Linked DNA regions of Callithrix jacchus. The protein of the gene in region 3 interacts with the protein of the main gene of each other region in a pairwise test. Links are inferred from orthologs where the notes say so. Each region holds a gene or a part of one and is shown on either strand. Other genes may lie near its edges. The genes, in order: ZMIZ2, CEP76 and SALL2.

The links.
Region 1: the proteins of SALL2 (region 3) and ZMIZ2 interact in binary tests that used the Homo sapiens proteins (3 or more experiments, as listed by UniProt). The two-hybrid records come from large-scale screens. The link is inferred for Callithrix jacchus from reciprocal best matches to the Homo sapiens genes SALL2 and ZMIZ2.
Region 2: the proteins of SALL2 (region 3) and CEP76 interact in binary tests that used the Homo sapiens proteins (3 or more experiments, as listed by UniProt). The two-hybrid records come from large-scale screens. The link is inferred for Callithrix jacchus from reciprocal best matches to the Homo sapiens genes SALL2 and CEP76.

What each region holds. Positions count from the first base shown.
Region 1 is NC_133512.1:12,827,887-12,832,321, reverse strand, and holds the start of ZMIZ2 (zinc finger MIZ domain-containing protein 2), read right to left. Parts: upstream 2,859-4,435; 5' UTR 2,787-2,858; intron 2,581-2,786; exon of another isoform or gene 2,427-2,580; intron 1-2,426. UniProt on the Homo sapiens protein: Increases ligand-dependent transcriptional activity of AR and other nuclear hormone receptors.
Region 2 is NC_133514.1:49,822,596-49,825,975, forward strand, and holds part of CEP76 (centrosomal protein of 76 kDa), read left to right. Parts: intron 1-2,213; coding exon 2,214-2,431; intron 2,432-3,380. UniProt on the Homo sapiens protein: Centrosomal protein involved in regulation of centriole duplication. Required to limit centriole duplication to once per cell cycle by preventing centriole reduplication.
Region 3 is NC_133509.1:56,041,141-56,045,562, forward strand, and holds the start of SALL2 (sal-like protein 2), read right to left. Parts: upstream 2,934-4,422; 5' UTR 2,574-2,933; coding exon 2,501-2,573; intron 1-2,500. UniProt on the Homo sapiens protein: Probable transcription factor that plays a role in eye development before, during, and after optic fissure closure.

The DNA.
Region 1 (4,435 bases), on a different chromosome or scaffold from region 3:
GTAGCAGTTCCCCAATGGCAGCATGTCAAAGCCAGTTTGCAGCTGGTGATGAGAGGCTGCCCAGCTCCACCTAAAAGCAGTAGGATGGGCTGGGGCCTAAGTCCAAAATTTCTAACAATTTACAGCTAGTGCTGCTGCTGGTCCAGGGACTAGCTTGAGAGCCTCAGTTCCAGGAAATGCAGAGAGCTGGGGAGAAGGGGCACAGGCCAGGTACAGGGAGGGGAGGAGCCCACAGCAGGCTCCTATGTCACATCGGCTTGGGGAATTCCACCCTTGATGCTTCTCTGGTGTGGACAGAGACCACAAAGATTTCCAGTTCCCTCTGAGCTTATTCTTCACTACACAGGGGGATTTCCTGCCGACCCGAACTCATACCTCTGGTCTCCTCTCTGAGGACAGTCTCCCTGGGAAGACTCCCTGTCTCCAGGTCTGGTATCGTTGACCCTCTGCTCCTGACCATAGGGAAGCATTCTGTGTTGTGTGTGTGCAGATCTTCCTCCTATCCCCTGGCTCTGAGTCTGGGCTGGGAACAAGCCTGGAGCCTGGAACCTGGATCCCAGATCATGCAAGGCCCATGCCCACAGAGGGGCTTATCACCTGGGGCTTTCCTTGTACACTAACTCCAGCTTGAAGCTAGGACCCCTTGACAGATGGACGAGGTCAGTCTAGAAGGCCACAAGGCTTTCTGGGGGTCAGATCACACCTTCCTCTAAACATGGAGCTACAGGACTCACTACCCAAACCTTTCTTTCCCAAGTGTCCCAGAGCAACTGCACCCCTAAGTCTCCTAGTGAACCTCCTAAGCCTTGTTCCATGCCACCTCTCTGCCTGCCTAGTAAGCTAGGAGCAGGACCAGCGAGTAGACCCTGTGGCAGGCCAACCCTTCTCAATAGGTCACAAATCGGGACTCACTGTCTCCAAAGTTGCAGGGTCAGGTTCTGGATCCAACCTAAGTGACAGTGGAGTCAAAGGGTCTTGAAGAAATGGGGCAGGAGCAGGGTCCTTGGTAGCAAAAGGTAGGGTGCTCACATGTACAGGTACCTGGAAGTCCTACCCCTCTATCTGTAAGGCCACAATACTAAACTGCCTCAGCGTGGGGCTAAGTCAAGATGCAGAGTTAATCAAAAAGTCCAGGAACGAGCAATGGCCCAGGCATGAGACATTTCAGTGAACAGCTGAAGGAACAACCTTAACCTGGCATCAGTTTACCATGTGTACGATGGGTATCTGCTGGCATCCAAGGCCTGAGGACACATGACCACCTTCATGTCATCAGCCCTTGGGAGCTCAATCCCAATCATCAGGATGCTCCGCAAACATCTTAGGCCTGTCCTTCAGAAATCTAAACTGGCAACTGTCACCTGCTTGTTCTCATTTACACTTGCAGCTTGTAACTACCCCCTAGGTGTGACAAGGGCTAGAGGTCAGTACCCCCGGAAGTTAAGATTCCTTCACTTCTGTTTCCACACTAAGCATCCAGGGATGCCCTCTGGTTCTAGCTTGCCAGAACTTGGTGGTGATGCTGTGTCCATCCTATCTGTAATCACCACGGTCTCAGACCAAGTCACATGTTCTGTGTGTGTCCCTGTGAAATCTGTGATGACACAAATTAAAGACCACCATGGATGTCCTGTAATACTGGAAAGAGGGTACCCTAGGGAGAAGGGGAAGCAGAGCACTGCAGGCTAGAGGGTCCAGGGAATGGGGGAAAAGACAGGGTAGGTGGAGGGGTAAATAAGGCACCGGGTGTGTGTAGGGGGGTCGCGGTGAAGGACACCTGCCGGGAATAGGGCGCTAGGGAAGACAAGGTACCTCAGGGGAGGAGGGCATCCTCACACCTGAGCTTCAGTATGTCCAGTTTGGAAAGGGGTGTCCCCATCAAAACTGCCAGCTGGGGGCTGGCAGGTCAGCGTTATTCAGCTCAGGAGCGGAACAGCTCCTCCTCGGGCTGGTGACTGCCTCGGAGGGCCCCCACATCGCCCTGCTGGTGGGCACGTAAGTGGAAGCGGAGGGGCGTATCATGAAGGTGAGACTGCCTGGCCCGAGCCATGAACGATCATGTTTGAGTGAAGGCCCGGCCAGCCTTCACCGCTCAGGACAACCTCAAGCGCCGCTTACATCCCTCGGCCAGCCTCCAACAAAGACTCAGGGGAGGGCTGGACGACCCTGACGCCCACGGGGCCGCGCCTGACCAAGACCACGACGCACGCGTGGCAGGTGCCGGCAGGTGGGCGGCAGAGCCTCCAGCCCCAGCCCGGCTGGGTACCCTACGGTGGCGCCGCAGCGGGACCGGGGCACCCCGGGGTACCGGCTACACCTGCCCGCCCGCACCTGCCGGCCCGCACCTGCCGCACCTGCCCGCCCCCGCCGGCCCGCACCTGCACGCGGGCGGCGTTGCCAGGGGCCACCCCCAGGGCCCCGCTCACCTCCGCCCGGCCTGGCCTGGCCCCTCGCCGTGGCGGCCCCCGGCCCGCGCCGCTCCATGCGCTCAGCCCGCCCTCCGCGCCGCCTGCCGCCCCGGGGCCGCCGCCACCCGCGCCATCGCGCCGCCGCCCGCTCCGAGGGCACAATGGAGCCGCCGCCGCGCCGCTCATGCATATGCATGACGCCGCGCAGCCGGCCCCGCCTCCCAGGCCAGAGCAGCGGAGCCCCGAGCCAGCGCTCGGAGCGGGGGCGGCCGCGAGCCTGAGCGGCCCAAAGCGGCGGGGTGGGGCCAGGGCCGCAGGTGGCTGGGCGGGTAGGAGACGCAGCCTGACCACGACCTGCGCCCCCAGCCCCCTCCACACCTTTCCGAACGCGGCGTCGGCGGAGACACCGCGCGCTTCCTGCTCTCAGTCCGCCGGGAGCGGGGCGGGGCCGGGTGGCGGAGGCGGGGCCAGGACCCCGGGGAGGGGCCGAGTGGGTGGTGGGGCCAATGTACCGGGGCGGGGTCGTGAGGAGGAGGCGGAGCCAGAGGGCCGGGGCGGGGCCAGGGCTGGGGCGGGCCCCGGCCGAGGGGAAAAGGAAGAGTGAGTCCTGGCCCTTCCCCCACCCGCCTCGCCCGCGCCGCCTCTGCCTCTTGGGAGTCCATTGCTGTGGCCCGGAGGGCGGGGACAAGACAGGTAGGCGGAGAGACCTGGAGTGCCTCTTGTGGGAGGGGATCTTAAGGGACTCGGGAAGCCTCTCGTTAAAGCAGAAAATCAAACTTAACCGAACAAGTTCGCTTTCCTCACTGCTCAGTTCTCTCTCCAGCGGTTCTCCTCTTGGAAAAAGTCACTATTCAGCTAGTCTGGCCTGATGAAATAGCCTCTCTGATCAGTTGCGACCTTTGAAATGCTATTGTCAGCCTTTAAGTTATTTTTAACTTTTCCTACGGTAAGTTTAGGAAGACCACATTCTCATAGCAAGTACTTGGAAAAACAAAACGAAGCAAAAAAACAAAAGGAAGACCACATTCTCTCTACTACCCATAATTAATTTTTTGTTTGTTTGTTTGAGACGGGGTCTCGCTCAGTCGCCAGGTGCCAGGCTGGAGTGCAGTGGCACAATCTCGATTCACTGCAACCTCCGCCTCCCGGGTTCAAGCAATTCTCCTGCCTCAGCCTCCCAAGTAGCTGGGACTACAGGCGCGGGCCACCACGCCCGGCTAATTTTTGTATTTATTTATTTATTTTTTTAGTAGAGACGTGGTTTCACCATGTTGGCCAGGATGGTCTCGATCTCTTGACCTCATGATCCGCCCGCCTCGGCCTCCCAAAGTGCTGGGAGTAAAGGCATGAGCCACGGTGCCCAGCCAAATTTCCTTCTTTCTTATGGCCAAATAGTAATATTCCATTGTACGTATATTCCACATTTAGCTTACCCATTCATCCATTGATGGATACTCCACAATTAATTTTTGACATTGTAGAAATTTTTTGCCCAAGGCCGCCTCTGAACTCTGTGCTCTGTTTCTTTTGGGAATCATTCGTCCATCGAACAAATATGGTAGGCCTGCTGCACAGCAGTCACTGGTCTGGGATCTGTGAACACTGGTCTGCCCCAGGGACCAGGACAGTAAGACCCTTCCATCCTTACATCAAGCATGTTCGAGGGGACAAACAGAAGGAAATGAGTTAACAGGTAACAATGTGTCCCTCAGGAAGAGCGTTAGGAAGAAAACTAAAGCAGGACCAGAGAATGGGGAGGGAGTGATGAGGTATGGGGATGAATTCTCTGGGGAGCTGGCCCTGAAGAAAAGACCTGAATATGGGGGCTGACAGGTAAGAGGAGACCCTGACCATTCCTCTGTCTCGGAAGAGGCTACATTTCTTGGGGGGGGTTGGTTGCAGGCAGGTTCGTGGAGGATGCTGGAAGTGGCCACACCAAACATCTCACACGCATCTCTGTTACCTCCTGCTTCAACAACTCCTGCCCTGTGCCCCTGTGAGAGGCCACCTGGTGCCCACTCCTTTCT
Region 2 (3,380 bases), on a different chromosome or scaffold from region 3:
TTGTAATACATATTACCATGAAAAGACTAGAATCCAAAATTCCTACAAAAGGTTTATTTCTGATTCACCTTTTGGGGTTCCTTATTCCACTCTCTACCGTGGGTGTTTTCTGTGTTCTTTGAGGCTGTCAAAGGCAAACTGATTTATCAAACATGTTCTCTGGGTTCCCAGTTACTCTTAGCTTTGGCCTCTAATATATTCCTTATTCAGGCTAGGCACGGTGGCTAATGCCTGTAATCCCAGCACTTTGGGAGGCTGAGGTGGGCAATTCACCTGAGGTTGGGAGTTTGAGACCAGCCTGACCAACATGGAGAAACCCTGTCTCTACTAAAAAATATAAAATTAGCTGGGCATGGTGGCACATGCCTGTAATTTCAGCTACTCGGCAGGCTGAGGCAGGAGAATTGCTTGACCCCAGGAATTGGAGGTGCGGTGAGCCAAGATCATGCCATTGTACTCCAGCCTGGCCAAGAAGAGCAAAACTTCGTCTTAAAAAAATGTGTGTGTGTGTGTGTACATATTCCTTATTTGCTTGTCAACTCATCAAAGCATTTAAATGTATATTTTGGAAAATCTGGAGTTTGTAGTGTGTTTTTAAGCAAGAGTTGATCAGGAGACCTCTGGTCCATTATATTGCTGGAGATGAAAGCCCCTTATTACTTTCTCTTTCCTTCCATCACTTGTATTACCTTTAGCTTTCTTTTCTTAGGTTCTGCTTATAAATAAAAGCAATATTTTATTTTATAATAATTACTTTTGGCCAGGCACAGTATCTCACACCTGTAATCCCAGCAGTTTGGGAGCCTGAGATGGTTGGATCACTTGAGCTCAGGAGTTCAAGACCAGCCTGGGTGAGAATCCATCTCTACAAAAAAATACAAAAATTTAGCCGGGCATCGTGTCACATGCCTATAGTCCCAGCTACTTGGATGCTAAGGTGAAAGGATCAGTTTAACTGGGGAGGCAGAAGTTGTAGTAAGCTGAGATGATACCACTGCACTCTAGTCTGGGTGACAGGGTAAGACCCTGTCTCAAAAAAAAAAGGAATTACTGTTTATAGAAAAAGAAAATAAAGCTGTGATAGATGCCAGTGTTGATCACTACTTAAGGGTGCCTATAAATCAGCAAAGGTTCACATTTTGCCACGGGAAAAGCATTGTTAATCATGGACCTTTGAGATCATTTGTGACAAGTTACCTTGAATGTAAAATAAGGAAATGCCAAACATCTATTATGATAATCAAAATATCTAGAATTTGGAGAATTTTTTATATTTGTAACAATATTATTTTTAACTTCTTGTGTCTAGATAGCAATAGGTCATTTGGTGTTATAAATGGAATCATGGGCTGGGCTCAGTGGCTCACACCTGTAAATCCTAGCACTTTGGGAGGCCAAGGTGGGTGGAACACTTGAGGTCAGAAGTTTGACATCAGCCTGGCCAACACGGTGAAACCCTGTCTTTACTAAAAATACAAAAATTGGTTGGGCTTGCTGGCGGGTACCTGTAATCCTAGCAACTCCTGAGGGTGAGGCAGGAGAATCGCTTGAACCTGGGAGGCAGAAGTTGCAGTGAGCCAAGATCGCACCACTGCACTCCAGCCTGGGCAACAGAGTAAGACTCTGTCTCAAAAAATTAAAAAAAAAAAAAATGGAATCATGTTGTTTTTAACATTCTATAGAAATATGTTTTAAGCCCCCTAGGGGCCTATAACATGTCTTCATCTTTTTATCTCTTACACTAAGTTTTATAGAGTACATGTTCAGTAAATATTTGTTTAATTACATATAGGATTCATTTGCTGACTTTGCTCCCCTCTGCAGTTGAGTTTATGGTAGGAACAGTCAGTCTTTAGTAAACAGATTCAATCTTAATAAACTCTTTAAGTAAAATATCTCAAAATTCACTAACACTCCATATTAGGACTGTTTCATACAGTATTTTCTAGTAGATATTAAAGAAGTACAGGATTTGGAGCCTTCATGAAACATCACTGTTTCGAATGTTTGGTTTTTCTGAGAAGTAAAATCTGATCACCTATAGTTTCTTTTATCTGACTTTTATTTCTATGCATCTTTGTAATTATGAAAATATTATGATAGCTTTTAAAAATCTTTTCTTGGTATACATTAAAATAATCAACATTTTTATTTAGCTGGTTTTAAAAATATTAATGTATTTCATTTTTTCTTTTTCTCTTGATTGCTTATAGGACCTTGGTCTCACTACTGTTTGGGAAGACCAGCTGTCCTATCTTCTTTCACCAGCTTTGGCTTCTTATGAATTTGAGCGTACAACAAGTATATCAGCAGGCAATGAAGAATTTCAAGATGCCATAAGAAGGGCTGTACCTGATGGTCATACATTTAAAGGGTTCCCAATACATTTTGTGTATAGAAATGCAAGACGTGCATTTGCCACATGTCTTCGGTAAGATGTAATTTGTGGAATCAGGTTTTCAGTTTAGGAATCTTAGAGATCAGTCTGATAGGGGTTTTTTATTTCCTTTTTTTTTTTCAAAGTCAAGGTCTCACTGTGCTGTCCACACTGGAGTACAGTGGCACATTTATGGTTCACTGCAGCCTTGACTTCCCGGGCCCGTGAAAGGCCTTCCACCTCACCCTCCCAAGCAACTGGGGCCACAGGCATGCACCATCATACTTGGCTATTTTTTTTCTTTATTTTGTAGAGATGGGGGTCTTCCTGTGTTGCCCAGGCTGGTATTGAAATTCCTGGGCTCAAGCAGTCTTCCCACTTTGTCCTCCTAAAGTGCTGGGATTACAGGTATGAGCCATTGTACCTGGCCTAATCTGGTAGTTATTTAGGAATGACATCAGAGTCACATGGGATCTTTTACAATGACTTACCCTCCTTGCCACAGATTTTGATTCATTAGGTCTGAAATGTAGCCCTAGATAGTCTGGGATTATTTTCTCAGTGATTTTGGTACAGTCTCAGTCAGGTATCTCTGATTTTGTTTGGACAATATGGAAATAGTCTATGATTTGAATAGCTTGACCAAAATTACAGTGTCTTTGATAGCATTGACAGAATTTGAAAAAATTATTTTATTTATTATTCATTTTTGAGATGGAGTCTCAGTCTGTTGCCTAGGCTGGAGTACAGTGGCACAATCTTGGCTCATCACAACCTCCGCCTCCCGGGTTCAAGAGATTCTTCTGTCTCAGCCTCCCAAGTAGCTGGGATTACAGGTGCCTGCCACCACACCTGGCTAATTTTTGTAATTTTTAGTAGAGACGGGTTTCACCATGTTGGCCAAGCTTGTCTTGAACTCCTGACCTCAGATGATCCACCTGCCTCAGCCTTCCAAAATTCTGGGATTACAGGCATGAACCACCTTCCCTAGCCTGAAAAAATT
Region 3 (4,422 bases):
AGGTAGATCTTAACAGAGGGTACTACTGCTTTCTGCTCCTTACATTTGTTTCTGCCTTTCATCGCTCAAAGGCAAATTTTCATCAAAAATGTGTTGATGCCCTTTCCTGTTTCTATGGGGATGGCTTTGTCGCAGCATTACCATGCCCCCAAGTGGGAGCTGTATCTTAAAGGGCTTGAAAATCCATTCAGGACAGCTGTTAAAAATAGCTTCTGACTCCCTAACAGAATATTTTTCCTCAGCTCTGGTATGGGGAATGGGTGAGCAGATGGGAGAAGTAGGAAGAAGAGGAGAGGGTGCTTCTTGGGGGCTTGGAGGGGTGTTCAGCAAACTTCCACAGTCAAACCAGCAGGGGAGCAGAACTGTGAGGCAGCTCTGGAAAAGAGTTGAGGCTCTAGGGGAAGTCTCCTGTAGAGCACAAGTAAGAAACATCCGGCCTATAGCAGCATTAAGAAGGGTTAATGTGTCTCAGGAGGGAAGGATGCCATCACCACAGAACCTCTAAATATGGGCACAGTAGGATCCCAGAAAAGCAGTGATTTGGGGAGGATGTGTTCTGCCCAAAACATAGTATGTCTGTTAAGGTTATTTCATAGCACCTGGAGCACTGATTTGACCTCAGGCTTTTGTTTTTTTTGCTAACATGTGGAAAGGCAAGTTTAATCTAGAATTAATTTTAACTACCACCAATACACTACCTTAGAGCTTTTCATGGCACATTTCTCATAAAGAAATGCTGACATTTGCCAAGAGGTTCCTGAGTTTCGGTCATATTACAGCACTTGCAGGAAGTACCACTGCATTCACAAATGATAACAATATTTACACATATTAAACACCATGCATGCTAGGTGCTTTACTACACATATTAAGCACCTTTTTATGCTAGGTATTTTTCCAAGAGTTTTACACATATTAACTCATTTAGATTTTCACAACAACCTAATGAGGTAGCTAGTATACACATCTCTGCTTTACTTCAGATAAGGAAACTGAAGCATAGAGAGGCAAAATAAGCTAGCCATGGTCACACAGCTAACCAAGTGGTGGAGCTGGGATTTGTCTGAAAGTCTGGTTTCAGAATGCTTGTGCTTAATTCTATCCTATATTGTTGGGTGTATCAACTGTATGCTAAAGAGTTGCCTCTCGAGCCAGGACTTTCAGTGTGCACATATGGAGCCATACGACTGACAAGTATGTCCAAAACTTCTTTGATCCTAAAAATTACTTGGACACTTGCAAAATATAGAGATTCCCACATCCTAGCTCAGATATACTCAGTCAAGCAAGTTTTTCAAACCCTGGTTTAGTGGAGTGAGCACCACCAGCCTTGAGCATTACGAAATTTAAGTTTTCGCCCTGATTTTGCCTCTGTCTCTCACACTCTGGACAATTTTACTCTTCAATTCCCTGCCTGCTCTACTGTCTGCCTGTCACTTAATGGAATGTTATAAGAATACATTCAGGGGCCGGGCGTGATGGCTCATGCCTGTAATCTCAGCACTTTCAGAGGCTGAGGTGGGCAGATCACCTGAGGTCAGGAGTTCGAGACCAGTCTGGCCAACATGGTGAAACCCCACATCTACTAAAAATACAAAAATTAGCCGGGAATGGTGGTGGGTGCCTGTAATCCCAGCTACTCAGGAGGAGAATCACTTGAGCCTGGGAGGTGGAGGTTGCAGTGAGCCGAGATCATGCCATTGCATTCCAGCCTGGGAAACAAGAGTGAAACTCTGTCTTAAAAAAAAAAAAAAAAAAAAAAATCACCCAGGCAATTTTTTTCCCCCTAAGGGACACCTGTTGCTTCAAAAACATGATATTCTCATAAAATGATATGCATGTAGTAACAGGTGTGTTCCCTTGCACTTTTTTTTTTTTTTTGCTTTGCCTTCCTTTAAGCACAAACTAAGACCCTCATCCAGACCCATCCTTCAGCTCTCCTCCAGGTGACACCATACACACCCCAAACCAGGCTGCATTCTGACCGACATTAGCTCTCTCCCTCTGGGAGCTCCGATCGGCTCTCAGTTCAGCCCAACAATGAGAAACTTTTCTTTCGTCTCCCTCAGGGGAGCCTTCACGTTTGTCCAATTCATTCTCTTGCAACCCAACTCTCCAGAAAGAAAAGGGGGGAAAATCCCACCCCTAAGAGACGGTCTTCAGGTCTGAGGACGTTACTTAGCAACGGCACAAAGACCAGTGTGCAAAGGGAGACCTGAGGAGAAAACTCTTGGGTGGGGAGACAGAGCCAGTTTGAAAACTCCATTTCATCCAGAGAAAAACAAGGAAAACACAAACAGAATCAATCCCGAGTAACAAGCGGGGCTTCTCCCCAGCGCAGGTCATCTTTTTACTCCCTGCATCTCAACTCCTTCAAACCCCCAGAGACCAAGTCCGCCCCCGCCTGGTTTCGCCCATGGCCCGAGTGCCCTCCCCTTGCCCTGGCCTGACCTACACAGGCTTGGACTCAGGGGCCCCCCACCCCTTCCCAGGCACCCACCGTTCTCAGACGCGCTGGGACCTTCGCAGTCCGAGATTAACTGTTGGGGTTTCCGCTGCTTTCGCCGAGACATTCCCGGGTAGAGAGAGTTGGGAGAGGGAGGGGCACGCTCACTTAGTCTTAACCGGGGCGACCTGGTCTCGTCTCCCCTTTGGGTCCGAAGCCAATTGATGCCTCTCCCCCAGTGCAAATCACTGTGAAGCAGAGATGTTCTCCTTTCCCAGAGACAGACAGACACACACACACTCTCTCTCTCTCTCTCTCTCTCTCTCTCTCTCTCTCTCTCTCTCTCTCTCTCTCCTCTGATTCTCTGTTCTTGACTCTCTCTCTTTCTCTCTCAATCTTTGCAAGTCTTTAAAGGGGAGACGCCCCCTTTTTTTCTTCAGCTTCTTCCCTACGCTTCTGCAGCTCCCATTGTAAAAGCAAAAATCCTAATCTTTCCGCACACTCTTTTCTTTTGTACTGCAGAGGAAAGGATTTAACCCTCTCCTCCCTGCAAGGGCCCTGGGCCTCTCCCTATGTTGTCTGTTCAGAGACTGTCCTTGGCTTGTTTTTCTAACTCTTCTCCAAGATCTGCACCGTGCTTTTTGGTTCTGTCATATTTCTATGCCCTTCTGTTTGATAATGTGGCTGCTTCTGGGGTATAAACTGAAATAACTTTCTGATGTATCCCAATTATGAGTAATATATGTATAGCTCTTTATAATTTATAGAATATTTTCATTTGTGATGTGTTTTGAATATTACAACTCTGAGATAAGCACAGTAGGCTTTACTACTATTTATAGCTGATCCCCTTTAAGATGAATCAAAAAGCCCAGTGAAGTTAAGTAACCTCTCCAAAGGTGCACAGCTATGATGTATCAGACACAGGCCTGGAATCCAGATGCATCTGACAGTAGTCTAACATTGTTTCCTCTATAGCAGAAAAGACACAATATGCTCCCCAACTGCTATCATGAAAAAAAGTGATTGATCTCAAGGAATCTCATTTAAAATAGCTAGGACTGGGCTGGGTGCGGTGGCTCACGCCTGTAATCCCAGAACTTTGGGAGGCCGAGGCAGGTGGATCATGATGTCAAGAGATCGAGACCATCCTGGTCAACAGGGTGAAACCCCGTCTCTACTAAAAATACAAATAATTAGCTGGGCATGGTGGTATGTGCCTGTAGTCCCAGCTACTAGGGAGGCTGAGGCAGGAGAATTGCTCAAACCCAGGAGGCAGAGGTTGCGGTGAGCCTAGATCATGCCATTGCACTCCAGCCTTGGTAACAAGAGTGAAACTTCGTCTTAAAAAAAAAAAAAAAGCCAGGACCAGGCTCAATGGCTCATGCATGCAATCCCAGCACTTTGGGAGGCCAAGGCAGGCAAATCATAAGGTCAAGAGATGGAGACCATTCTGGCCAACATGGTCAAAGTCTGTCTTTGCTAAAAATAGAAAAATTAGACTGGGCATGGTGGCTCCCACCTGTAATCCCGGGACTTTGGGAGGCCGAGGCGGGTGGATCACCTGAGGTCAGGAGTTCAAGACCAGCCTGGCTAACATTGTATAAAACCCCGTCTCAACTAAAAAAAAAAAAAAAAAAAAAAACAACCTGGGCATGGTGGTGAGCTCCTATAATCCCAGCTGCTTCGGGAGGCTGAGGAAGGAGGATTACTTGAACCCAGGAGGTGGAGGTTGCAGTGAGCCAAGATGGAGCCACTGCACTCCAGCCTGGGCAACAGAATGAGACTCCGTCTCAAAAATAAATAAATAAAATAAAATACCCAGAAGGCCAGGGCCTTTCTCTCTCTCCCAATCCTCTGCAGTTCTCAGGGTTGAAGGGATGCCTCTGCGAATATGACTTAGATGAGTCCTGTAGTACCTCAGGCTGCATGCTAAAAGGAGGAATTTTCAGCTCACTATAATGGAGCTTTCTAAT